Schizosaccharomyces pombe: one gene and its partner. The protein of the gene in region 1 interacts with the protein of each later gene in a pairwise test. Each region holds a gene or a part of one and is shown on either strand. Other genes may lie near its edges. The genes, in order: gst1 and hom2.

Evidence for each region.
Region 2: the proteins of gst1 (region 1) and hom2 interact in a two-hybrid assay, tested with the Schizosaccharomyces pombe proteins (one large-scale study listed by BioGRID).

Annotation. Positions count from the first base shown.
Region 1 is NC_003421.2:1,711,938-1,727,533, forward strand, and holds gst1 (glutathione S-transferase Gst1), read right to left. Parts: upstream 8,134-15,596; 5' UTR 8,078-8,133; coding exon 7,388-8,077; 3' UTR 7,206-7,387; downstream 1-7,205. Other genes in the region: SPOM_SPCC191.05C (nucleoside 2-deoxyribosyltransferase), read right to left, coding at 382-1,017; SPOM_SPCC191.06 (uncharacterized protein), read left to right, coding at 2,202-2,618; cyc1 (cytochrome c), read left to right, coding at 2,798-3,127; ribosome biogenesis protein Lto1, read left to right, coding at 4,814-5,218; SPOM_SPCC191.10 (uncharacterized protein), read left to right, coding at 9,891-10,340; external invertase, beta-fructofuranosidase Inv1, read left to right, coding at 12,369-14,114. UniProt on the Schizosaccharomyces pombe protein: Involved in the oxidative stress response and detoxification.
Region 2 is NC_003421.2:2,381,339-2,397,496, forward strand, and holds hom2 (aspartate semialdehyde dehydrogenase), read right to left. Parts: upstream 6,226-16,158; 5' UTR 6,190-6,225; coding exon 6,153-6,189; intron 5,951-6,152; exon of another isoform or gene 5,849-5,950; coding exon 4,812-5,848; 3' UTR 4,681-4,811; downstream 1-4,680. Other genes in the region: protein Vms1, read left to right, coding at 1,394-3,196; SPOM_SPCC1827.05C (RNA-binding protein NIFK), read right to left, coding at 3,359-3,766, 3,844-4,229, 4,285-4,321; spx2 (SPX/EXS domain-containing protein), read right to left, coding at 7,289-7,447, 7,523-8,614, 8,680-8,952, 9,019-9,368, 9,421-9,425, 9,466-9,595, 9,652-9,677, 9,720-9,733; Ark1/Prk1 family protein kinase Ppk38, read left to right, coding at 10,934-11,057, 11,103-11,233, 11,302-11,749, 11,804-13,053; arrestin family membrane adaptor Mug170, read left to right, coding at 13,337-13,986, 14,025-14,274, 14,333-14,664, 14,710-14,758; protein Pal1, read right to left, coding at 15,287-16,158. UniProt on the Schizosaccharomyces pombe protein: Catalyzes the NADPH-dependent formation of L-aspartate 4-semialdehyde (L-ASA) by the reductive dephosphorylation of 4-phospho-L-aspartate.

The DNA of each region.
Region 1 (15,596 bases):
TTTTTTTTTTAAATGAACTCGTGTTTTCATTCTCTACGGATCTAATAGCGTATATGGTATTGTAGGACATTGGCTCAATAAGCGTGATAATTTAGTAGACGTCGCAATTCCTGGCAAAAACATTGATTCAATAAAGCTCCTATCATTCATTTCTCTAACTTTTCTCGTCTTTTCACTACTGTCGTTTTCTTTTCTATCACCTATCGATTAGAAGTGGTTAGAACGGCCAAAGCTTGTTTTCGGCGAATAAATTATTGTTTGCATGAGAATCGCGCAACATTTCTTAGTCAAGCATGGTCTTTTACAACATAAATATTTCGACATATATAGCATTTCTTCCCACCGCATGACCGACAGCTAGTGTTGACTGCTCATGGTCGGCTAATGCTGACTGTTCAATCTGGCAGCTAGATCCTTAATGGCAGTTCGAAAGGCTTCTTGAATGCTAAAATCGACGGCGACAAAACCTCCTGACATTCTGATAAATCCCTCAGTCATCACGTTTTGCAAGAATCCCTCAGAGTGTACGATCAAGCCGTCTGCATCTTCCATGCTACCACTACCGCCTTTGGTGAATCGAGGCTTCAAAGCGTCGCCCCATGCCTGTTTTCGGTACGACCTGACTTTTTCTGGATACATACGGCCATCGGTCGTGAAGCCGGCCAACGGTTTTCCTTGAGCGGCCATGTACCCAAGCTCCACTGCCGTGCCTGGATCCATGTCTGGGGCACGTCGAAATGGATCAAGGCAGAAAATCCCTCCATCGCAACGATCCATCAATTTCCGATCGAGTTCCGCAATCTTCAAACTCGTTTCCGCTCCAGGAGCCATCTCCTCCACACCTTCTTGGCCATCAAACGGTGCAACTCCTTGCACCCCTGCGTCCTTGCAGATTTCCTTGAGTTCATCAAACAGCTCAATGGCATTAGGCCTAAACACGAGGTCTCCTGCCAAGTACACACAGGGCACCTTGTGAGGTTGCGCTTTAGGGATACTGACCTTTGCCGTACCAGTCATTTTGCCAATATTCGTAGAACGAGTATACGAAAAAAAAAAAAAAAAAACAAAAAAAAGTATGACTATTCGAAAAATATCCTAAGCGTCGTTTTGTACGTTTCTAGAAATCAACGCTTGTAAACACAAAGACAAGATTTTAAAAGTAACCCTTGTGTAAAATATCAAGAAATACAAAGATATTACTTCTCAATATACGAATATATGGTAGTAAATTGTATTAAATTTCAATGTTGATACCAAAAACAAGGAAAAAGATTGCAATTTTCCTACGAATGTTATCTAACAAAGGGTGTTTGTTTTAAAATGATTTCATCTCTACTATTCTTATACTCAAACATTCTCGTTGTCTAGTTTATCAAGATAAGGCATTTTTCATCGGTCTGTCATATTTTTATACACCTTCCTTCCCTATCTATCCATTCCATCAGCCTTTGCTCCTATCTGGTAACAATAAGCTCAGACAATCTTTTTTATATCTGTATTTAGGGAAACATCTAAACTACCACGAATTTCCCAATTTACCGAAAGAAAAAAGAAATCGAAAAAATCAGGTAATGTAGGAAATGCTAGTTGGTTGGTAGTGAGTGTGTGTGTGTGTGTATCAGGTTTAGAGCAGCGGCTTGAAGCACTAGGCTGGGAAAGCGTTTCGTTTTATTTATTTTTACTTTTTTTGTTCGATTCTATTGGATTTATCTGAAATTTGTTTTTCAATGGGAAAGTCTTTTGTGATGGATTAAAATCTTTTTGGAGAAAATCACATTTTGCAGAAAAAAATTTCTAGATCCCATTCATTTTGTTGTGGTTGTATAAAAGACGAAACATATGAATGAACTATATTTACTAGATAAATGGGATTCTCATACTTTGATCTTACCAATTATTTTCTACTTTGTTTCATTGTCACACAGTGTCTGTCTATTACTATATGATTTAAGAAATCGTCGCTTAATAATGACAACACATAGACTAAACAAAACGATGTTCAGGTAAGTTCCTGTTTACTATTTCCATAATCCTATTTAATTGTTTTCTTTAAAATGTCACACTAACCTTGTATTCGCAGGATTAAGTAAAGTGCGATCAAATGCTTCTTTGAATTTTTCAACTACCAAAAAATATGCGCAGAACAAAGTGTACACACCAAAAGGTATTTACTAGAGTGTAATATCCAATGGTGTATTCCCATGTCTCATCTATTCATTCTCTCTTGCTCTGTCTACGATTTTTCATCTATCCTATTGCATCAATATTTCACCCAATTTTTCGTACTACGCTATGCATCCCCATCAATGCATCTTGACTGGCGATTTCCGTCTCTAAGAATCCATTCATATCCCAAAGACCAATCCACACATGCTTGGAAGATGCATTGCATGCCTACGGAAATCATTGCATATCAGCCAATTCCAGTTTTCCAACGATTACTGCACTCTAACGATATCTATTTTCCTTATTTTCAGACACGGTATACAACCTTAATTATGTTTAATACGGTCTGCTCGTCATCACCAAATCCTGTTTTTACTTTAACGAAGGTTATCGCACGCAAAAAAGGTAAACATTGGATTGGCTCGCCATGTCATTCCGCGGAGAGCTCATGAACCAATGAAATAAGGGCGAAAAAATAAATTTAAAGGTCGACTTCCACCGCATCCCAACTTACTCTCAACGTACATCTTCTCACTAACTTCGCTGTGAATTTGTGGTTTTTAAATCTTCTTCTCTACAAATACTAAACTCTTAAGCCTATTTCCTTTCCTTAGCAATTTATTAATTCAAAATGCCTTACGCTCCTGGAGACGAAAAGAAGGGTGCTTCCCTGTTCAAGACTCGTTGCGCTCAATGTCATACCGTTGAAAAAGGCGGCGCCAACAAGGTCGGTCCCAATTTGCACGGTGTATTTGGCCGTAAGACCGGTCAAGCTGAGGGTTTCTCTTACACCGAAGCCAATCGCGATAAGGGTATTACTTGGGATGAAGAAACTCTTTTCGCCTACCTCGAAAACCCCAAGAAGTATATCCCCGGTACTAAGATGGCCTTTGCTGGCTTCAAGAAACCGGCTGATCGTAACAACGTCATTACGTATTTGAAGAAGGCCACCTCTGAGTAAATGGGGTGATGGCCGTCAACGACAGTTGCAAGTGTTGGCGTAATGCCGTTGGGATATGCTTTATGAATTCGTAATTCCCAATTTGCTTTTGTGTCTGTCACGTTACTGATTGATTGATTGCGTTTACCAAAAAAAAATAAAACAACATGGAAACGAGCAGCATAGGAACATGAATTGTTTGATATAAATTCTTACTTTGGAATTGGTCTCCTTCTTTTCATTTATTCCTTTTCTATTCTCTTTTTCTATTAGACAACCTTTTTCAAAAAAAAAAAAAATTCCGCAATTCCTATACCGTGAACCAGTTTTTTTATTCGGAGTTCCCAAAAGCTTATTTCCTGGGCCCACCGGGTTCTTCCCCATCAACTCCCCTCTGCTTTTTGAATTTTTAGCTTCCTGCATATTTTGGTGTATCTTGGTCAATTCATTTGAGCAAGATTCAGTTTCGAATTGATTTTCATTGATGCCTATGCTTTCTGATGCTTTGCTTTTCTTTACTTAAGGTTTTTTGAGCTGATTGGTTTTCAGTGAGTTTGGGTTTGTTTGTTTTTCACCTTTCTCTACTCTATCGTATTCCCATTCACAACCATACTCCCCTCTCTTTTGTGGTCGATCAATTCCCATCCAGATCGTACACACAAACCAAAATTAATCATAGCTCTCTTTTTTAGCTAATTCTATGTTGTTTTTACAACTATGGATCTTTTATGATATTCAAGTTTTCATACCTTTCACCCTTTTCTTTTTTTTTTAATTAGTTTCAGTATATTGCAATTGACGGCTGCAGAGCCCTCTGAGATTGCTCTCCGGTAGTTCAATATTCAACGCGCATGCATAAGGTTTTAGTGTAAAGAATTGAGGACAGTCAAGTGTTGTGTATATTTGAAAATTAATTAATCTTTGTATGTAACTAGACTGTGCGTTTAAAAGTAGCAAGGAAACACTGCAGTTATTCGCAATGTAAACACTTGCCAATTGAAACTTATGTGATATACTTTACTAGCTCCTGTACTTGAAACAAAATATTAGACTTAGATTTAAAAAAAGAAAAAAAGTATGTTCTATATGAATTATCGACTGCTATAGGCAAAGTAAATGAGATTTACACTAGAGATGTCAATGCTGCGATTTTGAAATTAAAGAAATATCGGATATCAAACGAATACCATAAATTCATTTAGGGCGATATAATTCTTCTTTGTTATTCGTTTTTATATGTAAGCTACGCAGTTTGGTATCTGATTTAAGGATACGTAGAACTGCGGTGAGTTTTCCTTGTGATCTATTATATTACAATACACAGGTTGTATAAGTAGCAACTGAGTATAGGTATTGTATTAACTGGGTTATAATGTTACCTATCACTAATATAGCTCATAACTGAACTGAGGAACGAGGTTCAGCAGTAGCTCTATTTATAGTATTCAGATAATATTGATCTTAATAGATTATCATTAAGATCAATCTCCATATCGTATCATACATGGTACGATATATAATTAGAACATGTGACATATAGTGATACTCAACGTAGTGTATTATAGCGTAGTGTAGTATTGCTGACATTATACTGCAGGAACTATATATCACTGTGTTGTGCTGTATCTAATAAGGTTAGCCGCTAATCCTCTGTAAGTTGCAAATTCTCAGTTTTTGGCAAAAATTATTACAAAACGACACTGCCGCATGGACTGGGAGGAAGTGACCAAATTGGAAGAAAATGAGTACAAACGTGGTTATGATGAAGGAATTTTAAAGGGAATTGAGCAAGGGTATGAGGAAGCATTTTTGTTTGGACTCGAGCATGCTTATAACAAATATTTACTGGCGGGTGAAATTTATGGACGCGTGTGTTTTTGGTTGAAAGAAGAAAATTCACAACATCCTAAAATTAAAAAGGCACATAGGCATTTAGAACAGTTGAAATCGTTATTAGAGTCGTTGCCCACCAACAATGAACTGGAGGAGACCGATGCTGGGTTTGACTCTTACTGGAACAAAATTACAGCCAAAGCCAAAGTGGTATCGAGTCTTTTAGGAACTAAGATTCTTCCCGCTGAAAAAATTGATGCTAATGATGGCTTTGAGTAATGTCTTCAGAGCAAATATACTATGGAAGGTATTTAATATTCCTGAAAACATTCACTTTACATGATTGATTATGTTATATTTTAGCAGATTATATCTGATATCCTGGCATTTGTTCTTTTTCTTGACAATATCTCCCTTCGAAAGAAAGCTGCATGTAGTGAGTGAATAGTCGTTTTTTTTTTTGGCTAATTCATTCTGAATGGAATCAATTTCTTCATCCGTTATGGTTAGAAACGTTTTGGAAGCTAAATAAAACATTTTGTACATTAAGATGGAAATTAAAACCGCAAGATCTTTTTTCTTGTCAGCCAAGTTTTTCCAGTTAATGAGTACTAGCATCTGTCTCTTTTAACTCTAGTAGGTGTGTTTGACTGGATGGCATCCCCATAATATTGCTTTGTTCTTATGGCAATTTGATGATTTCATTAATGTTCGTAGAAAATAAAAGAAAAGGATCAAATATTAAACATCCGCTTTATGATTGCCATATGCGTTCATGAATTAGCACATTAGCTGCTGCTGTGTATATGATAATCCTATGTATAGACATTTCCCCGGCATAATTACTTGCTTGTCCAGTTTAATAAGTTTGTTGTACATTAGAACAAAAGTTTATAGACACAAAATAAAGACATCGTAACAAGTTAAACATCATTACAATTCCCCAGTTTACCATACAATTAATGATTTAAAAAATAAAAATAATAAATATTCATCGACTATATAGATACCAGGATAGCAATAAATAAAAAATTTTGTATGTGAAATGTGCAACTTTCTAAAAATGTATTATAAGCCTTGATTTTCGTTCACTAAAGATTTCGCGAAACAAAGCAAAAATAATCGTTACCGGCATTTGCCAATTTTGTAGGCCTATTTTTGACTTTTCTAACTGGTAAATTGCAGCTAGATAAGCTTCGATAAGGCCAAGGACAATGGCTATCAAATGTTGTTTCATCGTTTTATTCATTTCAGTTAACAGCAACCGTTACTACAATTCAAGTTTAAGAGATATCCATACTAAGAAGTTGTTTTTTTTAAGGTAGTTTTAATTAAAGGAAGTCCTAACAAAAAACGAAATAAAAAACAACGTTTATTTACGATTTAATAAAAACTGGTTGTTAAATAGTTTGCGACACCAAAATGGAAAGCAGTATTGTTATGTGACTGTGTTTTTTAGGCATTGTAACTCGCTAATTTGTTTAGTGCAATACGTTCATGTTCATTATACGCTATTGTTTTCATAAATAGGTATCATCTGTTTTTTAATAGTTTTTTTTTTTTGCTTGTTTCCTTGTTTAATATTTTGCTCTAATACTTTAAAATTGAAACTATCATGTACAAAATACAGGCGGCCTAGTTTGCTTTGTTACTAATTATCATATTCTTGAGCTTTATAAGAACACTCTTGAATTAAGCAAATTGGATAATTTAATATACAGCGACTGCTTATATTGATTTTCTCTTTGTTTTTTATATTAGGACCTTTCTAAATTCGATAATGAATCACTTCTTCATACCCTACATTATATTTGTGTTCATGAGTATTTGAATTCATCTTATTTACAATATTCAGAATAATTAAAATAAAAAATATAAGACAAGCCTGCCCAACATATAAAGAAAACAATATTTGATTATTATTTATTCGAGCTTTTGTTTTAGACATAATATTTATAATTTACTTAAAAATTTAATAAAATCATTGAACTTTTCTCAATAAATTGACGACATTATTTAAAAAAAAAAAATAAAAAAGGTCTTGTAGTATAAGAAAAATAAAAAGATAGTAACAATAAAAAAATAAAATAAAATTAGCGCCTCAAGTCATTTCGACATGATTACAGCTATCCCTTCTTTCATTTTATATTTTTTACTTTTGATGATTGGCTTTTCCAAACAATAAATACCAATTTTAGCAAGAGCAATACGATGGATGTTACATGGTCTGCTTTGTATATATTTTCGGAATGTATAGTAGAAAATCATAGTTTAAAGATGATATTATTGAAAGAGCACTTGAACAATTGATGTATGAAACGAAAAAGTTGAGTCTATATCTATATGCATAAAGGAAAGTAAACAATGCATGAATTTTGAAATATAAAGAATCAATCAATCAATTGAAATATTGGAACGTTATTATCAAGATAGACGCCACAAATTCACTTAATTATCCAAAGCCTTTGATCTTTCTTCGAAGGTAGCCTTGCTAGCAGGTCTGGCAAGAAGTCTTTGATGCCAGGAATAAGTTCTAGGAAACTCTTTTTCAAAGTCGAGCTGAGGCACTTCTTCCTCGATTGAAAACTTTCCTTCTGCAAAAATAATTTCAAGGAAGTTATTCCATGAAATGAATGATAAGTCAGCAATTGTGAACCGGTTGGCCACGAGATAATCACGGTCTTTAAGGATATCTTCGAGGACTCCTAGAACACGTTTGATTTCATTCCTATAACGGGTAATGGCAGATATGACTAGCTCCTGATGATAGACGCTAAACCATCCAGCCTGTCCCCAAATGATGCCTTGGCCAGAAGCTTGAAAAAATAAATATTGTATAACTTTGTAGTATTCAGGATGGTCACGAGGCAAAGATATCTTCCTTTCCGTATCATATTTGTCAGCTAAATAGATTAAAATGGCATCAGATTCCCAAATGGTATAATCGTTATTGTGGTGATCAATCAAGGTAGGTACTCTACCGTTAGGGTTTAAGGCTAAGTGTTCGGGGGATTTCTGCTCATTTTTTGAAAAATTCACATATCTGGTTTCATAGGTAAGGTCCAACTCCTTCAGCGCTTGAACCACCTTCCATGGATTAGGACCATGAGCATGCGACCATAAAGTGAATTGAGCCATGATACTTTATTTTGAGTGTGTTCTATTGTTAAATGAAAGGAGTTTGGCAATGGATTAAAATATAAAGAGCATCTTTACCATTTTATATACAATTCTTACTTCCATTGCGTATGCAATATTTATGAAAAATTTTGGAAAACACCCGAAATCGAGTTGATCAATTTCATCCAACTTACTAATCGATCATACATTAGACTCATACGTGGATTCAACTAAATTTTACTCGATTAGCTGACGACAAGCCGGAAGTTATGATTTATGTCAAAACGTGATCAAAGAAAGATAAATCTACTACCGATTCCATTTACTAATACATTTGAATCCTGTTAGCCGGTTACACGCTACATTTAATCAATCTTGTAATGCATCAAAATTTCATGTAAAATTTCTACCAACATATAGTGCGTGGGGACTGACTTCTCGTTTTGTTTAACTATGTATAATCCTTGTGGGAAATAAACGTATGCTTAGTGTTATATTTAATTTCTTAAAGGGTCGGCTTAATGCAATTCCAAATTCAAATGCAATTAAAACTGTTTCAGGTTCTTAAGACATGTAGTTTTCAGAATTTACGAGTCAGTTGAATAGACATCTTATGATAAAGTTAATATAAAAATAATAAAATAGTCTCAACCATACGCTCGAGATTTATTTTGTTCACCACCTGTTCAAAAACCAACGTGTCAAACTTGCTTTTAGACTACTGCACATATTAATTCAAACATGCTAGGGATTCACAATTGGATTTTCAACTGTAAAGATTAGTTATGACGGAGTTTTGTTTCTCACATATCAATTTAAAATTCTCTTCACTCTAATAATCTTATTTCGAAATCTACTTTATTTTTCATCATACAGTGAGTGTAATATGTTTAATTTCTGTAAGCGAATTGGTAATGATTCCCTATGAAAATTTTTTGTTTACATTTACTACCTTGACAATACGATACGTAAATTTTAAAGCTATTCAACATAACTGCAAACACGATGAGTAATTTTGCATTATAATCAGAAAAAGAGCAATGGAAACCAAAAAGCATACACCAACTTGATCAGAGTAAAGCAAGTACATGAACCAATACATGTTTATATCCGTTAAATACTATTTTTTTTCTTTTTAAAAGTATATAAAAATAACCTTTTTTGGATTATTCAATAAACGTCCAGCTTTTACGTCTTTCATTAATTGATTGAACTTTTAAAGTCGAAACCCGATAAATACAATCATGTCTAATAACGTTTATTCATCAAAAACTTTTATTCATTCAACAAGCTCAAAGCTCCATGTCCTTCAATTGACTATTCAATGTGATACATTGCAGCTTTTCCCATATTCTTACAACCCATCGGCTTAGTTTCAACGCATTTATCCAGGATCCTAGTCCGCGAAATCGAGATGCTTTGAAGATTAAAATTAAATTTAATTTTATGCGAGACTGGTTTCCTTATTTTTTGTATAGTCGCATGCAAGCGAGGTTCGCATAATTTGGAAAATAAAGGTAGTCAAGAAGACGTTGAATTAAGGCTGCAGTTTCAAAGTACTCTACAAACGATTCCTTTTAAAAAAAAAGATTCAAAAAAAAAGGCAAAGGGTTTAAGTAATGCTTGTTATTTCAATTTACCTCCAAACAGTTACTAATGCAATTGCAAAAAAAAAAACCTACCTATTGAATCAAAATTTCTAGCCCATCCATCGCTCCTCAAGATAAAGGAATCGATATTTTGAGTTTAAGGGAGTTGCTGATAGATTTCAGAATTAAAAATTTTTGGAAAAGGATGTCGAGAACAAGAAGATACGTCTAGATTGCTGATGATGCATTCTAGCAGACGGAAATACAACGATATGTGGACAGCACGACTTTTGATCCGTTCGGATCAAAAGGAAGAGAAATATCCATCTTTCAAGAAGAATGCAGGAAAAGCAATAAATGCCCATTTGATTCCTAAATTATCCCCAAAAATGAACATTATGAGATCTTCTTGTGGGAGACAGGAAATTTCGCAATTCCAAACGAAAATTCGGCTCTTTTTTTTACCCCACAGTTGCGGGGTAAATGATGTAACGGACCTTGGGGGAAAGGATGATGAGTTAGTTGGGAAGCGGAAAAAATGGAAAACGGAAGTAAGAATAGAAACCAGTATGGCTGAGTGCAATGGCGGAAAAGATTTTACAGAGATGACAAGAATCTATTTATCTATAAGGAAAAACTTTTTCCAAATTTGTCTAAAAACGCATTCTCCTCAATTGCCTCTAGGTAGATGATATAACGAATTGGAACGAGACATCGCTAACCGGTTTTCTTTGTAAATGACATTTTGTAGTGGGAGTAAGTTTGAATGGAGGGATAGACAGATGAATAGTATGAGATAGAAGAATAGTATATATAATGATTAAGATGAACAAATAAAAATTGAAAGAAAAAAGAAATTGTTGGCTCATTTGGTTCATACACATGTTGGTTCATACAACTTTTACCCATCGTAAGTATTATAAGTAAAAAATAGAGTACGAAAAGCTATAAGTAGTGAAGCAAAAAAATAGAAAAATAGAAAAAAAAATATATATAAAAAAATATAATAAAAATAAAACTCATAAGAGACGTAAAACACAAGAATTGTCTATCATTTGTTCTTTAAGAAGCACCACCATTCTGTAAAACTCTTCATTTCTCATTAGCAAGGACCCTTTTCATTCCTTCCTCTTTAGAATCCTTTTCATTATAACGAATTGGATAATACGCAAATAAGAACACATCCCCTAAATACGATATATCGATCCATTTTTTACTTTGCCTAGCTTATTGCTGTACAATTCCATTTAAATAGTTTCTCCTGTTAAACAGATTGAGTTTCATTGTTCTACTTTTACTTTCTCTTTTATTGGTTTTGACTGACGTCCCAAAACCTCGATTACTTTCATATCTGTCGGCATCATTCTCCTCAAGAAAGATCGTCAATGGAGGCGACAATATACCGGAATTTAAGTTGCGGACACAGAGCTTGAAAAGACTGCATTTTGTATTGTTTTCAAGTAAATGAAACTGAGTTTTGAAGTCTCAAAATACATCTTATGTATTGAACATTAGAAGAACATATAAGATAGATCTTGAGAGCTCAATTCATCGACATTCTAGCCATCATACTGCGATCTTAGACATTGTCAGCACAACCTTAGATCGAAAATGAACACGTTACCAAACGTTGTCTAAAACTTGCCGAATCTTATCTCCGCATTACTTCCGTAATCCTTAGTACATACGCTGCAATTTCGGAAGGTCATGATCGACTTTTTGTGTAGCTATAAGTGACGCAAATGAGAAACATGACAAGGTGCGATATTTAGCAAGATATTATGCATTTGATGGAGAAAGGAAATTTCGGATGTATATATAGTACCGTTAGCTGCGCTTTTTTTGGTCATCCATAATTTTCAAACTCACTGCTTTCGATCAGATTTACCGTTTTTAAGGTCTTTATTGCTTTGTGATCTGTAGGTTGGAACATCTATAGTTCATTTTCTAAAAGATCCTTTCATCGTTTCATCGGATAGTAATCGTTCAAGAAAAAAAAAGAAAAAAAGAAAAAGAAAAAGAAAAGAAAAATAAACCGCTATAATTCATTACCTATTTGACTGAAGGTTCTTCATCTTGAATTGTTTTGAATCAAAATAAAGAAATTATTATTATTATTTTTTTTCTTCGCTTTTTCTTTATCCATTCGTCGAAACTATTTTTCTGCTGATAAAAGCAATCATTCCTTTTTCCTGCTTCTCTTGTTATTCGAATTTTAAACGACTTTTTTTCCTCGTCCATTCCCTAATTCTTTGCGACCTTTTCTGATTCTATCCTTGGTTTGTACTTTCGTTGTGTAATTGTTGAGAAAGTGAACTGATTATTTAATTGTTGTGAAAAAAATTCTAAAACTATTTTGTTTTTCTTGATCATTCATCCTTTGCTCGCTTGCTTGAATATTACAGAAATTCGTCTCCCTTTCAACGGAATATGATAATTTGTTGAATACTCTAAATCAATTAACACCTATCAAAAGCTGAAACATTAAATCTATTCTCACCAAAAAAAAAGACTCAAGCTTCTTCGTTGTTGGCCGGTCTCTTTTTTGTTTTACGATTGTTAAATTTTATACTCACAACTGCCAATTCTCCACTTTTGACTATTTATTGATAGTCCCTATTTAATTTTCTGTTCACCGATTATCGTCTTTTTTGTAAATAATCTTTCTTGGAACCAACCAATTAATACGTTATAATCGCTAACTTTGAAGATTTGCTACAATGTTTTTGAAATATATTTTAGCTAGTGGCATTTGCCTCGTCTCTCTCTTATCATCTACAAACGCGGCTCCCCGTCACTTATATGTAAAACGTTATCCTGTCATTTATAATGCTTCCAACATCACTGAAGTCAGCAATTCTACCACCGTTCCTCCTCCTCCATTCGTAAATACAACGGCCCCTAATGGGACTTGTTTGGGTAACTATAACGAGTATCTTCCTTCAGGATATTACAATGCTACCGATCGTCCCAAAATTCATTTTACTCCTTCTTCCGGTTTCATGAATGATCCAAACGGATTGGTATATACTGGCGGCGTCTATCACATGTTCTTCCAATATTCACCAAAAACTCTAACAGCCGGCGAAGTTCATTGGGGTCACACAGTTTCCAAGGATTTAATCCATTGGGAGAATTATCCTATTGCCATCTACCCCGATGAACATGAAAACGGAGTTTTGTCCCTCCCATTTAGTGGCAGTGCAGTCGTCGATGTTCATAATTCTTCCGGTCTCTTTTCCAACGACACCATTCCGGAAGAGCGCATTGTTTTAATTTATACCGATCATTGGACTGGTGTTGCTGAGCGTCAGGCTATTGCGTATACCACTGATGGTGGATATACTTTCAAAAAATATTCAGGAAATCCCGTTCTTGACATTAATTCACTTCAATTCCGCGACCCCAAGGTAATATGGGATTTCGATGCTAATCGTTGGGTGATGATTGTAGCTATGTCTCAAAATTATGGAATTGCCTTTTATTCCTCCTATGACTTGATTCACTGGACCGAGTTATCTGTTTTCTCCACTTCTGGTTATTTGGGGTTGCAATATGAATGCCCTGGAATGGCTCGTGTGCCCGTTGAAGGCACCGATGAATACAAATGGGTACTCTTCATCTCCATCAATCCTGGCGCTCCATTGGGAGGATCCGTTGTCCAATACTTTGTTGGCGATTGGAATGGTACAAACTTCGTCCCCGATGATGGCCAAACTAGATTCGTAGACTTGGGTAAGGACTTTTACGCCAGCGCTTTGTATCACTCGTCTTCCGCCAATGCCGATGTTATTGGAGTTGGATGGGCTAGCAACTGGCAATACACCAACCAAGCTCCTACTCAAGTTTTCCGCAGTGCTATGACAGTTGCACGAAAATTCACTCTTCGCGACGTTCCTCAGAACCCCATGACCAACCTTACTTCTCTCATTCAAACCCCATTGAATGTTTCTCTCTTACGAGATGAAACACTATTTACCGCACCCGTTATCAATAGTTCAAGTAGTCTTTCGGGCTCTCCGATTACTCTTCCAAGCAATACCGCATTCGAGTTCAATGTCACACTCAGTATCAATTACACAGAAGGCTGCACAACAGGATATTGTCTGGGGCGTATTATCATTGATTCTGATGATCCATACAGATTACAATCCATCTCCGTGGACGTTGATTTTGCAGCTAGCACTTTAGTCATTAATCGTGCCAAAGCTCAGATGGGATGGTTTAATTCACTTTTCACGCCTTCTTTTGCCAACGATATTTACATTTATGGAAACGTAACTTTGTATGGTATTGTTGACAATGGATTGCTTGAACTGTATGTCAATAATGGCGAAAAAACTTACACTAATGACTTTTTCTTCCTTCAAGGAGCAACACCTGGACAGATCAGCTTCGCTGCTTTCCAAGGCGTTTCTTTCAATAATGTTACCGTTACGCCATTAAAGACTATCTGGAATTGCTAAATATTTTGTTTCAAGTTAGGAAAGTATAATAACTTTTGTCCCTGCATATTCAATTGTAAAGTTTAGTTTATCCTTTCATCGTAACCACAATTGTCACCTAAATCTCTAAAAATCTCTTCACTTATCTAGTTAATGTCGTAACAAAAAAGTCCAGTAGCTTCGGGAAATGATGCTTGGAATCATACAAGTCGACGTGGGTTTTCCCTTCAACAATGTACAGCTCTTTTGGCTCGGAAGCGACAGCATATGCTTCCTTTGAAAAATACAGAGTGTCAGCCTTCTCACCAGCTATGTACAACAAAGGCCTAGGAGCCATTTGTTTAAGAACATCCGTGGCTCCATAAAAGCCAGCCAATAACTCCATGCTCCACGGCTGGAAAATACCGGTGGATCGAGGATGGGAACCACGCGGTGTACAATAATAGTCATAGGCTTCTTTGAATAATAATGGGGTGGCATCAGACAATTGCTCTCTTTGGGGGAATAAATTGAACAAGTCATATGACTCACCCTTACAAATTTGGTTCGCGAGGCAGCGGCACCTTCTAATGCAGAAGATAATTGTTCGGTTGTTTGCATAGGTTTTCCATCAGCATTTCTAATACCTTCACGTATGACGCTACCAAAATCTGCAGCAGAGACAGTAGCAACCGATTTAATACGTTTATCCGTTGAAGCTGCGATGGGAACATACATTCCTGAAGCACAGATTCCCACCGCTCCGATACGACTCGGATCTACTTTGTCTTCTAGGATGGACAGGTAAGTGACAGCAGCTTTGACATCCTCGATACGTTGAGATGGATCCTCAATTCCTCTAGGTTCACCACCAGACTCACCTTGATAAGCCGCGTCAAACACTAAAGCCATAAATCCATTTTCAGCAAGAAACTTAGCATGAAAACTGGCCGTTTGTTCTTTGACGCCACCGCCTGGATAACCGACAACCACAGCAGCCTTTGTGCTAGCAACTTTACTTTCAGAAACTGGCTAATATAGGATGCCAGAAATAGGGATACCCCTTGAAGAAAATGTGACTTTCGTAGACTTGATTCCTGCTGACATTGTACTCGAGTTGGATAACGTTAGATTTTGAAGTTGAAAGGGGAAGTTAGTAATGTACCAGTAACGATAATGATAAATTCAAAGCCATTAACACTTAACATTACACAATAAAATAATAATCGAATAAAACCATGCTGTTCTTCAATCAAATTCACATTGTAATACGATATGAAAATATAAATATAAAAATAAAAATAATAATAATAATAATAATTTCCACCTTTACGTGGTAGTAAAAGAAATCATACAGAAGTTTTTTCGTTTCTTTCAGAGAATATTTTTGTTTAAATAAAGCTTTGTTAATAAAAAAATAAATAAATCCACAAATATGTATTGTTTGCAAGGTAGAAAACAGAGAATACACTAAACAACAATACCTACCTAAGTGTACAATGTTTATACACACACTTGAATTTT
Region 2 (16,158 bases), 670 kb from region 1:
ACAACGAATCCCTCAAGTAAAGTAAGTATAATAAGGGAATCCTAAATATTGAACTTCCCTGAGTAAAAACCGTTGATGCTGAATCAAAATATTCCTATTTCGGGTTCTTTTAAACTTTTTTTATGGAAAAGGACATGTTCCTTAAATTCGTCGGCTAGGTAAATGTTAAAAAATTTATGCGAGATTACAATGTCAATGTCACTTGATAAAGTAATCCACAGTAAAGTTTACAATGATTAAACAGAACATTGCAAACGATGTTTGAAGTTATAGGGATTTTTACGTTGAAATTAAACGGGTGGTTTGTCGCCTCAAATTCACATGGTCTATCTCTGATACGTCCGATATTGCTACTGATTTTAGGAAATTATACTGGTTTGTTGCATTCATCAACGCCTTGAACACTGAATTAAATCTTCTCTTTTTTTAAACTAATTCGCACTTCATATTTCCCGCTATCTCCCATTGATTCATAAATTAGTAGCGTGAGCATATGCGAAACAATACCTGCAAAATATGTGGATTATATCATCTAAATAATTATTAGTATTCACTGCAAAGATTAAAATTCCTTTTTCTTAAAAAATTTATTATATATACATACGTAAAATTCTTTCCTCAATTTGATGTCTTAAATTTGGTGGTTTGCTTGAAGGCATATTATTCTCAAGATAATAAAATTTTTTTTTTTTTTTTTTTTTTTTTTTTTACAAAAATAATATTAAACAATCATGCTCAGTCAAATTTCAAGTGACGAATTAATTTTTGGTATTTATTTTTTAATACGAAAAGGAATATATACAAATTGCGACTGCATCTAATATAGTTTTGAATTAGCTAAAGCAGTAGCATAATTTTTGCACTATTAATTTAAATAAATATTATTACAATCACCAACATTATACAAATGTTATTTTCGATTTTATATTTACATTCAATTTAAAATTCATAGATTTTTCACTGTTAACGACAGCTTTTTCTCAAATATTAAATTTTGGACTATATTAGTTAAATAATAAACGCAAGTATATACCACTAAGTAAAAAAATTACATAAATTTGATTTTTGATTGACTGTTTGCTCTTACCTAATTAATCCTCTTACCTATATTGTCTACAGCCTTATTTTTTTTTAATTCATTTTTGTGGCCAAAAGGCTTTAAAGTCTTAATTTACATGAAAATAACCTTTTTCTTCTTTTAATTTCAAGAAAAAATTGTAAATTAAAAGCAAACTACCTGCATCTTGTGGTCAAATTACTTAATCCTTATTAAAGTTCGTTTTTGAGTATAAGTACGCTAATTGCTAGATTGAAATTCTACTGAAAATTATTGCATATTTTGTAATGCTTACATTATTTTTAGATCTTGCTAATTACTTGTCTTCTTCGAAACATGGGTGATATTTCGAAGCACAATATTTTTTCCCTTCCTGAGGATATCTTAGCAAAACTAGAACTACGAGAGGAATACTCAGTTGAGGAAAAAACTGATAGTGCTAATTTGTCAAACCAAGGCGATATTGTTGATTCCACTCAGAAAAATATATCATCATGTGTCAATTGCCAGATTGACAATCTGCATACTCTGGACGAAAGAAAAAGTCATATTAAATCTGACTGGCATAGGTTCAATACGAAGCGAAAAATTACAAAATTGCCTCCGGTTTCTCAAGACGAATTTGAAAGCATAATTGAAGATTTACCAGAATCACTGTCTGGCAGTGAAAGCGAGACAAACTCAGAATCCGAAGAAGATAATTTCCAAATAGAGAAGGCTTTTAAACAATCCTTGAACATAGGAAAAGTTGACTCCGCTGACGAAAACAACAATCAGCGAACAAACTCACCATTAACGTGGTTTCAATTGAGTAATGCTTCTGCCGAAGTGCCAACCTATATTGGTGTATATAAACACATGTTTTCCGGTAATAACCATATCACTAAAGATTTACTTGTTCAACAACAAAATCATAACCGACAAAAGCCACTTCAACTAGCTATGTTTATGGTTGGAGGCGGTCATTTTGCTGCTATGATTGCTTCTAATGAGTTTAATCCTCGTGATCCCCATGTACCCAAAGTACTAGCACAGAAAACTATTCACAGATATACAACTAGAAGGAAGCAAGGTGGTTCTCAAGGGGCTGCTGACAATACTAAAGGGAACATTCACTCGGCAGGTAGTGGTTTGCGACGTTATAACGAACAAGCTCTTATTAAAGATATTCAGCAAGTTTTTAAAGACTGGGGAAAATTATTAGAAACATGCGATTTAATCTTTGTACGTGCAATCGGTTCATCTAATCGTTCAATTTTCTTCTCTCAACCAGGTGCTCTTATTTCTCCAAAAGATCCAAAACTCCGCGTATTTCCATTTACTACTAAACGAGCCACACATTCAGAATTACTTCGTTGTTACAAAGAGTTGGTTACTCCGAAAATTAGTCACGTTGATTCAATTTCGATAAAAGCTCAAGAAGAAGAACGAAAGAGACAAGCCGAAATTGAAAAGGAAATTAGACAAAGCAGATTACAAGAGGAAGAGAGGAAAAAGAAAAAGCTTGCTAAATATACCGAAGTAATTATCTCCAATTTGAAAGCGTCTAATATTGAAGCATTTTTGGAATATTTGCGCTCTAATGATTTGTCTATAAATTTTCAATTTTATCCTAAAAATGTTCATTTGCACACATCTACACCGTTGCATTACGCAGTTACCCAAAAAAATGCTAAATTAGTCGCTAAACTTCTCCGTAATGGTGCTGATCCAGCAATGCTAAATGGGAACGGAAAGACACCTTTTGAGATTAGTACTGGAAACAAAGAGGTTAAAGATGAGTTTCTAATTGCAAGGCATGAGTTGGGAGAGTCATTTTTCGACTGGGAAGCAGCTAAAGTTGGGGCTCCTCAGTCTAGAGAACAAATTCAGAAACAACGCCAAAAGGCAAAGACCAAATTAGAAAATCAAAGAAGGGATAAAGAGAGGCAAGAAGAACTTAGACGGAAGGAAGCGATGCAGAAAATTGAAGAACAATCGAAAAGGGATTATGATAAACTGCACGGCGAAGGTCATTCATTAGGAATTAATAATGTTCGAAAAGTTGACGAATTGCAATCATTAAGTCCAGAAATGAGAATGCGAATTGAACGTGAAAAAAGGGCTGCAGCTGCCATGAAAAGAATGCAAACAAAATGAGAAGCATAGTTATTTTAAATTAAAAAATACTTTACTAGAAAAAGACAACAAAAGGAATATTGTAAAAATATTAATCTTAGTATACGTTATTCACAATTCTATTATGCATAATAATAAGATATTCCAAATATTATTGTTATTACTCTAAAACCCCGTATTTATTTATTTGTGAGCAGCCAAAACCTTTTTGTTCTTCTTTTTGCTAGATTTTTTCGAAGCAACTGGACTAGCCGCCTTGGGATGAGATACATCCGATTCCAAAGTAATCCCCAATTCTTTGAGCTTGCGCTTTTTGAGTTTAAGCTTCCGATTATGGCGAGTAATTAACTTATCCGCTTTCTCCTTGCTTAATGGTTTTTCATGCTGAAGACGCGCTATTGTGGCATGAGGGATGCGTTTAAAAGGAACGTCGGCGCCTTTAAACATGTTTTCATGAACCTGGTCTTCAGGAATAACCTTACATTGTAAAAGCTTTCCATATAAAAGATAATTATGCATTGTCTCAGCAACGACATTGGCAACGTCTAACGATTCAAACTCGATGAAAGCATAATGCTTACTACTTCCTGTCTAATGCAAAAAGTTAGCAGTCGAAAATAAAAAGAAGAACTAAAATAGTCCGCTGTAGATAATAAATGTTACCATACCTTTCTATTGCGAGACATGCGAAGACGTAGCACAGGACCAAATTGAGAAAAATACATACGCATCTGTTTCTCATAAAATCCATGAGGAAGTCGGCCAACATACAAAACACCTTTTTTCTTTTGAAGATTCTTATTTTCAGAAACCTTTTTCTTTATGGTTTTCTCAGCATCTTCGCCCAAATCCATAATTTGCCTTGAGGTATTAACTAGCGCATTTGGAGAGTCTTCTTCATCATCATCTGAAGAACCGAAACCAGGAAAAAACTCTTTATCTTGTCCTTCTTCATCAGAGTTATCTACATGACCTTGTAATGATATATGCTCGGCTTTTTCAGCATCTTTGACTTTCTTCTCACGAAGAACCGATTTCGGTTGATTCACCGATTCTAAAATCAATTGAGTTAAAAACCATACAATAGTGATATTATTCCTATCACTTACTTTTCGAAGACTTTATAGGGCTCTTTGCCTTCGACATAATGTTTTATAAAAGTATAGGTATTGAACTGAATTTTTCCAGTGTCAAAAACGGCCAGATGCCTAAATTACAAGTTGTTATACATTTCCTTAAGCTAGACATGGTAGAATTTGAATTTGCGTTAAATATTCAAAAAATTTTTTAATCTACGCTAAATTTTTACAAATTGGTGTTAAAATTCGTTATTCATTTAAAATGGGAAAAAGTAGAAAATGACTTACTTCAAATATTAGAATTATCGATAGTATTATTCAATTACAAGGAATACAAATCTTTTGAAGGCTTCCGTTTTGGTTCGCAAGCACAAGAAACTTGATTAATAGAGGCAGTCCTCTAATTATATCACTGGCAAGGTAAAATAACAGCAAAAATGAAATATATTAACAAAGTTTTTCTTTATTCAAAACCTAATTCCAACTTTTAAGGTATCGAAAAATCCGTGGCAAATTTTGAGAGAGAAGAGTTATAACAAGAACAGGAAATTCGTTGTTTACATAAGTCCCTTCTTCACCGCAACTTCAGCATTCAAAATACCAGCACCAGCAGCACCCAAAACTGTGTTATGGACGAGGGAGACAAATTTAATATCAAAGATGGAATCAGATCTGATACGACCAACTGATACTGCATAACCATTTTCATTGTTACGATCGAGTCTAGGTTGAGGGCGGTCAGGAGTAGAATCATCGAAAACATAAATGGCTTGTTTAGGGGCACTGTAGCAGCCTAACTTTTGAGGTTCAGAAACATAGTTTGCCAATACTTCGCGAACTTGATCAGGAGTAGGAGAGGTCTTGGCAAACTTCACAGAAATACACATCAAATGGCCATCAATAACAGGAACACGATTGCACTGAGCAGAAACAACGTTATCAGTCAACTCATATCCAGAAATTGTGCTATTGACAGAGCCCAAGATTTTACGTGTCTCCCATTCAATTTTTTCTTCTTCACCGCCAATAAATGGAACGATGTTATCCAAAATGTCAAGACTGGAAACACCAGGGTATCCAGCACCAGAAATAGCTTGCATACTAACTACATTTGTTTGAGCGATAGGACCAAAAGCATCTTGTAGAGCTTTCAAAGGTACTACAACAGCAGCAGTAGAACAGTTAGAGTTAGTGATAATGCATCCACGATCCAGTTTGTTTTCTTGACGCTGGTACTTGATAACGTCCAAATGATCTGTGTTGACGGTGGGGACAACAAGTGGCACGGTAGGCTCACGACGATAGTTTTTAGCATTCGAAACGATGACTAAATTAGCATCACGAAAACTTTTTTCAATTTCGCCAGCAAAGTCAGCATCTAAGCCGCTAAACACAATATCGCATTCCGAAAACTCCTTGGGATCACAAGCCTTTACACTCATTTGGGAAATCTCTTTAGGCATTGCAATAGATTGTTTCCATTTAGTAGCAACTGCATATGGTTTTCCCGCAGAACGAGCAGAAGCGCCAAGAACAGCGATCTTAAACTCAGGATGATCGGAAAGGAGGGTAATGAAACGCTGTCCAACGGTGCCTATTTATGGTTAGTCATGTGTATCCAAAAACACTAGTCAGTGACACGGAACTGAAAATTTAATGTTCATCAAAAACTTATAGTACTAAAGACATGGAATTAAAATGATAAAATGTGAGTCTTTCCAGGCAATTTAATTCAAAAAGTGTACAATTAAAATGTAGACCAATTAAACAAGGAACCTAAAAAGTAAACACAAATTATTTTGTAACAGTCAATCCTTTAACTTTATGCATTTTTTAATGTACATAGAGCAATCGTTTGCAGTTTTGACAGAACATTACCATTCTAAATTTAAACATACCTGTTGCACCGAGGATTCCAACTTTTTTTATAGCCATTGTTTTTAATCAAGAAAACGAAGGTTACGTGTTCTTGGTAAATTCCTTCATTGACAAGCAATTTAAAAAAAAATATCTTATATCGTATCGCATCAGATCTTTTCTAATCGAGATAGTGAAGTCTAAAGTATTTCCGCGTACCGTAAAATAGTGAATTCTTTAAACAAATTGCCAAAACAAGCAGCATCCGTTTTGTACCAAAGTAAGGCAGATGAAGTAAACAATTAGTTGTAAAATACAAGTTCTAAAATAAGCTTTCTTTTATCTAATCTATAAGAGTAATGTAAAGGAACAGTTAATCTGGGACTTGATCAGATGTAGTCATTTTACGTCCATTATAACTTGGAAGTAAATTTAGTAGTGTCAAGCAAATATAGAAAGGATGGATGTAGTCTCATTGATTCTTTTGCAATTTAGATTTAGTACTGAGAATGATGAAAGACAATTTAATAAACAATGGATAATACTTTTATATGACCGGTCTTTTCTGTTTTGATAATGAAAAATTAGCTCGTAAGTATACTTGGCTATTATTATTGCAACAATTTTTTTACGAGTAGCTATGAGATGTATTTGAGATTAGTTAAAGGACTTTAAGTATTCCGGTCATTGGTTGATACATCAAGACATTAATGATCAATCCGATTCTCTGTCTCCAGACACGCATTGAATCAATCTATTTCACCGCACATTCTGTTCCTGACTGAGTAAATTAACTGACTTCTTTGATCATCGCTTAAAATTTACAGCACACTTAAAAGGATTCATTCATTTTGTGAAAGATAAATATCATTATTATAATTTTACTCATTAAATCATTAAGCTTCATTCATCACATTTGTTCGTAAACACTAAAGTCCCCCTTCTCATATCCATATGTCATAATAAAATTAAAATGAGGTTCGTAGAAACTTCTGAGAAATATCTTCGCATTTGTCAGAAGAAAACAGCGATACCATACTCCAAATGAGGAATACTTTTAATGCATAAAAACACAATAAAACAGCATTAATATCATCGGAGCAAACACCCAATACCGATAAGAATAATAAAAAAAATACAACTAAAGAAAAAAATAACTTGTACTTTCACGTTCTATCTAAGAAAACTGAGCTTCATCCACATCTGTTTGATCATCCATCGAATCTTCATCATCTGTATAATTCTTATCAGAAGATATTTGATGAGAAACGAAGACATCACTATGTGGCTTAACAAAATCCAAAGGCTTAAGTTCTCTAGCGGCCCGCAAATTTTCCTATAATGAAATTAGTATGCGACGATTTGAATCAAATAAAAATAAATAAAAGTAAACACAAACCAGCGAACTTACCCTATTATAGATTTCTTCGTGCTCCACACGAAGGATGTTCCACATACAACGCCGCATGATCTCAGCAAGGGTCACAAAAAAACTAATCCCTGAAGAGTGCTGAATGTGGTTGGGAAATATGCAATAGAATATAAAAGAGCTTCTAACGATAAAATTTAAGATCATAGCTATAATATACGGCCACAACTGTTTTAGAATTCGATGCTCACGGAATTGCCAACGACCATCCTTTCGAACCAAAAGGTTCCAATCCATCAAAATATCCCACGTATAAGAAAAAAGTGAATTTACGCCAGCAAAAATAGTATACAAAACCCGATATTTCAAGCCGGGATGAATCCTCCACAGACTTAAAAACATTTGGGCGAGGATATTAAAAATATATTTTAGAGCATTCACAAGATGTGGAAAGCTTTTCAACGAATCTGAATATCTTCGGAAACATTGAAAAACACGTAAGATGCCAGGCAATGTGGTAAAGAAACCTAGCAAGGGAGAATGTGATGAGTTACAAAGCTGTGGTTGTCGCCAAAGTCGCTTATAAAGGCAAAAGAACAAAGATATATTACCGCATGCATAAGTTAGACTAACCATTTGATCAGCAAAAAAGAAATCCTGAAAATGGACAGTAGAAAGCCCAGATAAAAACACACGGATAAGCTGAATTATCAAGTATCTTCGCATTCTCCAATAGGGAACAATGACGGGGGCTATTAAAAACGTGCCCACTACTCCCAAAAACAGGGCCGGAAAATATATTGTGAAGCCAGGAAAGAAATTTCTCATACACAGGAAAAAGAACAGCGAAAAAATAAAGAAGACTGCTCCTACGATCTCCAAATGCTGACGCCAGTTTAAAGATTTTCTTTGATTAAATTCGAAAATAAGCATGTAGTTAACCCGTGTCTTCTCCCACACGTAACAGTCTAAATCAAACAGTACGAACGCAAAAATTACTAAAAAAAAACCTCCCCATATCTGAAGAAGGTAGGAGGATTGCTCAGTAGCATTATAATAGCAAGCAGCCTCTATAGCCAACGGTAAACCTGCACCAAACAAGAGTCCAAATCGCATCGAGTTTGCAGAAAAGTGCTAAATAACCCAAGTTAGTAATTAGAGTATAACGTAAAGTCCAGATGCAACTGAATTATACTTACCTCTTTTTGACGAAATGACTTAAGATGCTCTAAAGCAAGCTTCTTGTTATGATTGGTAAAAAGACGAGCATATATGTCTTCAACATGCAATTGCCAATTTGTAGTGATGCTGAAATCTGTGAACGTATATCTGCTCATATAATCAACCCAAAAGCCCTGAAGATCTGTATGTAATGTTTTATCATACTTTTTGACAATCTTTCGAAAGGCTTGTTGATTAAGATGCTGGTACTGAGAAACCAATTTGAGATAATCATAAAAGTCCAGCAATGTCTAGTTGAAACAATTAGCAAATTTACAAACATCTATACTATGAAGGAAAAAAGCACTGAGGCATACCGTTTTCAATTTAGATTTCAGTTTGCGATAACTGACCATCGGAGTATAAGCATCAGTTGGGACACTCTTCCTAGCTGGGATATGATAAGCAGGTTGAAGTCGAGAAAAATTGAGGATTGAATCAAGCCTTTGTCTGAGTTTAGAGTGCTGTTTCTGTATTAATACAACAGATCCCGATTCAAGGGTCCCCTTTTTGAATGCACGAAGCTTTTCATATATATCGACCTGATCGCTAATAAGATCCATTCTTTCTCGCGCATCAGACACCAAATTTTCAAAAAATTCTTCCACCTTGTTTGCTTGTTGGTCAAGAAACTCTTGAAAAAGGGGATGAAACCGATGAATTTGCCCTAGGTCAAAAGCAGTTAGAAATGCATTTTTTAGAGATGTCAAAAAACGTACCTCGTCTGTTTTATTAGTCAATAGTGCAAATTAAATAAAACTTACTTTACAATGGCTTCTTCAGGTGTTTCTCCCAAAATCCCTGAAGTACCATACAGACCCTCAGAAGGATTCTTTGCAATGCCTGCGATTATTTTTTTCCCCTTTTTGTAGTCAAAATAAGCAGAAGCCCATTCTACTCGAATTAGCATATCCGAACGTCAATTATTTTTCAACTACAAACTAGCATACCTGCAACAGATTGTCCTTCGATAACCCTGTACAGTTAGTAAGCTTCAGAACTTTCAAAAAATCCTTACTTTCCGAATTTCATGTTCAAATAATTTTTAAAATTAATTACATAAAAGAAAGAATATATGTATATATATATATATTGACTTAGGAAACTCTTTTTTGCAAAAATTAAAAGGCAATATCCTTCAAACGACTTTAAAGCATTCAAAATTCTTGATATCGAAATATATATCAAAATTAAGAAATTTAAAGCATGTATAAAATTTAGGAATGTTTTCTGGTTACTTTGCTTTAGATAGAATGTTGGTTCTAGTTGCCCTTATTAAGATAAGTACACCAAGTGGTATCTGCAAAAAAGGTAAATTTAGTGGTTCCAAGGGATTTATATTTTCATTTAACAATGTTTAAGTATCGTGAATTCTCGGTTTAATTCTTGTGATCTCGTGGTTAATATTAAGAGGCAATTGTTAATGGATGCCACAAAAAAAGTTAAGTAGGGCCATTATTGGGGAAAATGCGCTTTAACATATGTATTGTAATTATTTCACTTTTTTTTGTTTATTTTTCCTCAAACTTTAGAAAAATCACGATTAACTGATCGATGCGATCTAATTATGCTAATTATGATATAAGCGATAGCGAGTTGGAGGTCTGTCTTACTTTACTTCAATTCATAAGATTAATTGTTTAAAAGTAGATAATCTAATGGTAGTATCTTCTGTTCCAATCCTCACAATGGATGATAGCTGTGTTTATTGGAGTTAGTCGTCAATGCATTTGAAGGACAGGAATTTTGCTAATGTAATGAACTACTAGATTTTTAAGTTAACATTTGACGGAGTTCGTCTATTTAAATTTTCCTTTAGCTATCATAGTGGTCCGTAATGCAGCCTTTTATAAGTCTTTCTGCAGTCCCTGAAGCAACAAATTACTCCATCATGTATTCACTATTAGAAGAGAGAACTAAGAAACTTAAATGAAAACATAACTATAATTTTTAACTTAAATAATGCTTGTCTAGTCTTGTCTTCCATAGTATTTATTTTTTGAACTCAGCTTCATCTGTCAATAATGCAATCGAACTCGCTTGGATGCATTTCTTTTTCTATCATATGAAGGCTATCGAATGTATCAATTTATACAAAGGAATAATTCAGTAAAGGCCAATAATTGAATATCACCTGTTTCACTTATATATTATATATCCTAACCCACGTTCCGCTCCTAAACCACCAAATTTACATTGAGTAAATCTGGTTGCAGCAGACTTTCTTTTGCAATGAATGAAACAAACAACACTTCATTGCTTCCAGTATCTTCTTTACCTTCAGGTCTTCTGCCTGTTGGTTTTAGTTGTACGGTGGAAAAGTTTTCGGTTACAGTAAAACGATACCTTGCTGAAGGTATGTAAAATCATCAGCTTCCAAATGTTAACAGCGTATCTTTAGGCGGCTTCTCTCATGTATATTTGGTACAATTGGTCTTCCCAGGAAAGCCACCGTTTGAGGCAGTTTTGAAACGTATCTTTGCAACGGATGCTATGGCCCTTCGAGCTGTGCACGAAGAAGTACGGACTATGGTATGTCCTTCTATCCTGTATTTTGTTGCTCTCCAATTTTTTACTATAAACTAACGACTTGTCTTTAGAAACTTGTTAGCAACCAAAAACGGTGTGTCTCATATTATGGCTCGGAATTTTTTAGGACATCAAAAAATCAATTCGAGGTCCTTGTACTATTGGAGTATTGCCCTTGTGGAGGCTTGATTGACTTTCTGAACACTAGACTTCAAGTTCGTTTATCAGAACAAGAAATTTTGAAAATAGCTTCTGATGTTACTGAAGCGGTTGCAGTAATGCATTACTTGAAGCCTCCGTTAATTCATAGAGATCTCAAGATTGAAAACGTGTTACTAGCTGCCCCAAATTCGTACAAGCTGTGTGATTTTGGTAGTGCATGTCACCCAATACCGGGTGCTAAAACGGCCGCTGAGGCCAAACAGCTAGAATATGATATCGAAAAATTTACTACTTGGCAATATAGATGCCCTGAAATGATTAATGTCCATAAAGGATTTGGGATAGACGAGAAAAGTGGTATGGTTTCTTTGTAACGTTATTAGAATATATTTCGTTAACACTAGCTTTTAGATATCTGGGCGCTAGGGGTTTTGTTCTATAAACTATGCTATTACACAACTCCGTTTGAACATCAAGGGCTTGCTGCTATTATGAATGTTAGTTACGCTTTTCCAACCTTTCCACCTTATTCAGATCGGTTAAAGCGACTAATTTCAACCTTATTGCAGCAATATCCTTGGCAACGTCCTAATATCTACCAAACCTTTTGTGAGATTTGTAAGATGCGTAATGTTCCTATACATATCTACGACATATACAACGGTAAAAATGTATCCAGCTGCAATCCTTCTGGTTCCGAATATCTGCAACATGCTTCCAAGTTAGAAAACAGTGGAATTCACCAGAGTAAATCATCCGTGTTCCCTCAGCCTGCTTCTGCTATGAAGCCAATGGCTTCTCCGATGTTACCCAATGTAAACTCGATGCCTTATCTTTCTAACGGAGATCATAATAATAATGGAAACACTTCTTCTCCTGTCTCAAGGTTTTCGTACGGTCAACATACTTCAAATGTACCTTCTACTCAAAAATTACCTAGCAACTTCCGAGTTACCCAAGGTGCACCACCTAGTCATACTTATGGACCACCTCCACCCGTCCAGCCAAAACCTAAAATATCTCCTACGACTCCTCGTTTAAGCACATTAGCTCTGGCTGACGATATGTTTTCATCTACGGCTAAAGAAACTGTTCCTACAAACGAAGCTGTCTTTACTGGTGATGTTAAATCTTTTGATAGTCAAGAATCAAATATTATAGAAAGTGAACCTCTTTCAGCTAGTAATGCTTCGGGAAAGCCAAGGACTAGTGTTAACCGTTTGGTTGATAGGTACAACCATACATCAAGTTTAAACAAGGTAGCTGCTGCTCCCGCTCCTGTCCCAAAACCTGTAAACTTAAAATCTGTGGAAAACCCACAAAACAATATATCTGCGCCTACACCCTCTAGTCTTCAAAGTTCCAATGCTCCAGTTGGGCTAGGCGAGGTAGAAAGCAAAAGTGTACCTCCAACCAATATGGCCACAGAACGAGGTGTGGTGGGAAGACGTGCCAGTATGTCTATTGCTGTGAATGCACGACGTGTCTCTAAACCCGAAAAAGAGCATACGAATCCAAACGCTGAGCAGGGCGATGTAATTCCCGAAAAACCTATGAGTATAAAAGAAAGAATGAATATGCTTATGACCAAGACTGATTACGAAAAACCGAAGGTTGAAGGCTATGGCCGTTACACCGACGTTCAGCAAACGAAAAAGTAATATTTTTATCATGATCTTCAAATGACCTTACGGATAAGTCAAATAATGTGGACATTAAGTATCTATATTTTACAAAATTTTATTACAATTTCTTTGTATATTTCTTTTTGCGCTTGTTTTTTTACCAACTAAGTTACCGTTTTGTTTTGGAATGTTTACCATCGAGTATGATGTTGACGAGTAAACAACCTCATTGGCAAATATCAGTTTAAGATTTCTCCAACAACTATTTCCAATAAATAAAAATATACATTCATTTTGATAACAACCTAATATCGTGCTAATGACAGAAGAACTTTTTAGTAACAGTGAAACTTGCAGTTTGTCGGATCCATTGACATCTAAAACATTGTCAAGTATAGAAAATCCTTTTGATGATCCCTATATATTAAGTGAAGAGTCAGAAATATTAACCATCAAAACTGATGTGTTACGACCGAATATTCTGAATAGGAAATCGTCTTTTTATCCTGAAGCTGATGCACCAGTTCGAAAATCTAATTTACAAGTAAAAAAAATCTTTGAAAACCAAGTTTTAAATTGTGATGGTATAAAAGTAGCAATAACGATTCCTGATACTTCCTTAATAGCTGGATCCTTGTTACATGGCAACATTTGGTTATCCTACGAAGGGGCAAAAAACGTGGAAACCGGTGTTTGGATAAAGGAAATGTTTCTCGATTTCTATGGTATTTTGAATTTTAAAGGCCATTCAGAACCTTTCTATTCTATCTCTGAAAAGTACTCGTTTTGCAACCTTAAGACATCTGCACTGATTCTCTCAAAGGCAGCTTCTGCCAGCATAGGCAACAAGGGCCTTTTCCTTAAATGTTCTTGTAAAGTTGGGTTTCCTTTCTCCTTCATCGTTCCTTTGGATATAGGTCCAGGTACTTATCATTCATCGAAATTAGAACTGTTATACTATATTTCAAGGTAAAAGATTAAACCGAAAAAAGTAACTGACATCTTAGTACGCTGACTTTAACATCTCTGGATCAAAATATTCGCTGTACTCGTTGTACAATTCCTAAACGGGTAATCACTTCAATGCATAATAATATAGCGGAGCTATATAACCCGATCTCATGCATTAAAAGCCTACCCTATCTTTCATTAGAAGAAGCAAAAACTACCTTGGAGGTTCATACGGACAGATCCTTGTTTTTTAGTGGTCAAATCATCGATTTTACCATTTGCTACACTCATAATCATCACAGAAGGGTAAAGTCTAGTAAATTAATTAAACTAAAGATAACAGTTAATCGCTAACTCTCAAAAGATTCATAATATAAAAGCACGATTGCTGGAAACTCATATCTTTCACCCTAATACTCAAAATCATTACGGTGGTTATTGTATGAACCAGGCCGAAGAAACATTCGCGAGTTGCGGATACTTGAAGCGTTATCAAAAAACTAAGACGAAAACAAGGGCAAAATCAACTTGGAAAATTGCTAATAAATCTGTTTATTCCAATTTGGCACCGACTCTAAAAAACACAATCCACGCACAAATCAAAATACCTGAATTTTGCCGTTCTGTTAATTTAAAAGATCAGCTGAAAATTGATTATACCCTTGAAGTTTGTTTCTCAGCATTTTTTAAACCAAGGTATGTAATCCAATCATTGTTTAAGTTCACACGCTAACAAGATAGAATTTTATCAATACAAATTCCTATAACGATTTTACATTCCTGGAACTAACATCAGCTACCTATAACATGCAGAGTACGCTTCTATATATCTACTGCCAATTCACTTAGTGAAACTAGATTGTAAATGAACGAAGACTGCATTGTAGAAAAAATAGAGATCATGATTAAATTACTTAAAGTAGAGAGCAATCAAAATATCACCAGGTGAAAAAATTTCGAAAGAAGGAAAATGTAAAAGAAAAGCATCTGGATTTGTTAAAGTTATGCAGAACAAGTAGGCATGAAAAATGTAGACTTCAGACGAACTAGTGAATGTCGAGAAGAAGCAAAAGAGAAAAGGACAAGATGCGAAATATTAGGACAAAAACAAAGAATGGTAATAATAAGTATGCGGAAGATTAAAGCAGAAACTTCCAACAAACTGGACGAAGAATTGAACTAAGCTGATTCAATATTTAAAAGCAGGGGTACAGACGTATTAGATGTTGAGAAATTGGTAAACAAATAAAAAGGGGAATAGAGAAAGATGATACTCAAAGATGCTATTATAGTAAATAAAGTTTCAAGCCTGAAAAGCCTACGACTTTTTGTGGAATAATCGTCTAAAAAATCCCATTTTCTTGGGTTTGGAACGCTCTTTCGCAGTAAGCGGAAGAGACATTTGAGATTCAGCGTGTTGGGGATAAGGTCGTGTATTAAGTCCACCTGTTTTCCTACGAGAAGGTGGCGGTGGAGCAGCTGTAGGAGATGTACGATTACGAAGGCCAGTGTTACTGTCATCAGTATCAGATTCGTTCTCGTTAGAAATGGGGTCAAGTTGAGAAGGGGAATTAAGTGGAGATCTTCGGGTTCCCATGGAAGAGTGAGACCGATAATTAGATGGCCTATTCAAAGTATTTGGTGTACGAGACATCATACTAGCGCTACGATTTAATCCAAGTTTTCGAATGAGAGAATTTTTTCTTCCCAAGCCCGCTTTTTCCATTGCCAACATTTCTTCATTACGTGCAATTGCATTTTTTGAAGCCATCGCACCTTCTATACGGGTAGAGTCAGTTAAACCTGGAGTATCATTATTGCCAGATGAAGGAAATTCTTCTTCGATGCCAACAGATTTATAAGGAGATTGCAATATGTTTTTTGTACGCAAACTCTCATGAATGGCTTTTCTGCTAAAATCCTTAGGGACTGAAGGGTCATTATAAGTTTCCCCAACTTTCGGAATGGAATTAGCAATACTATCTTTTGGAAATGCGGCAACAGGTGCTTTCTTAGAATTTCGATTACGATGAGGTCGACAAGCATCAAAAGGACCATCGTGATGAAAGCTACCAGATCCATAAAGCCCTGTTACGTCCAAACGATCTATCTGATCTAATGGTTCTTTTGACGACCGACCAGGACGATGTGATCCCTCTCGTACAGACTTGTAGCGTCGAATGCTACCCC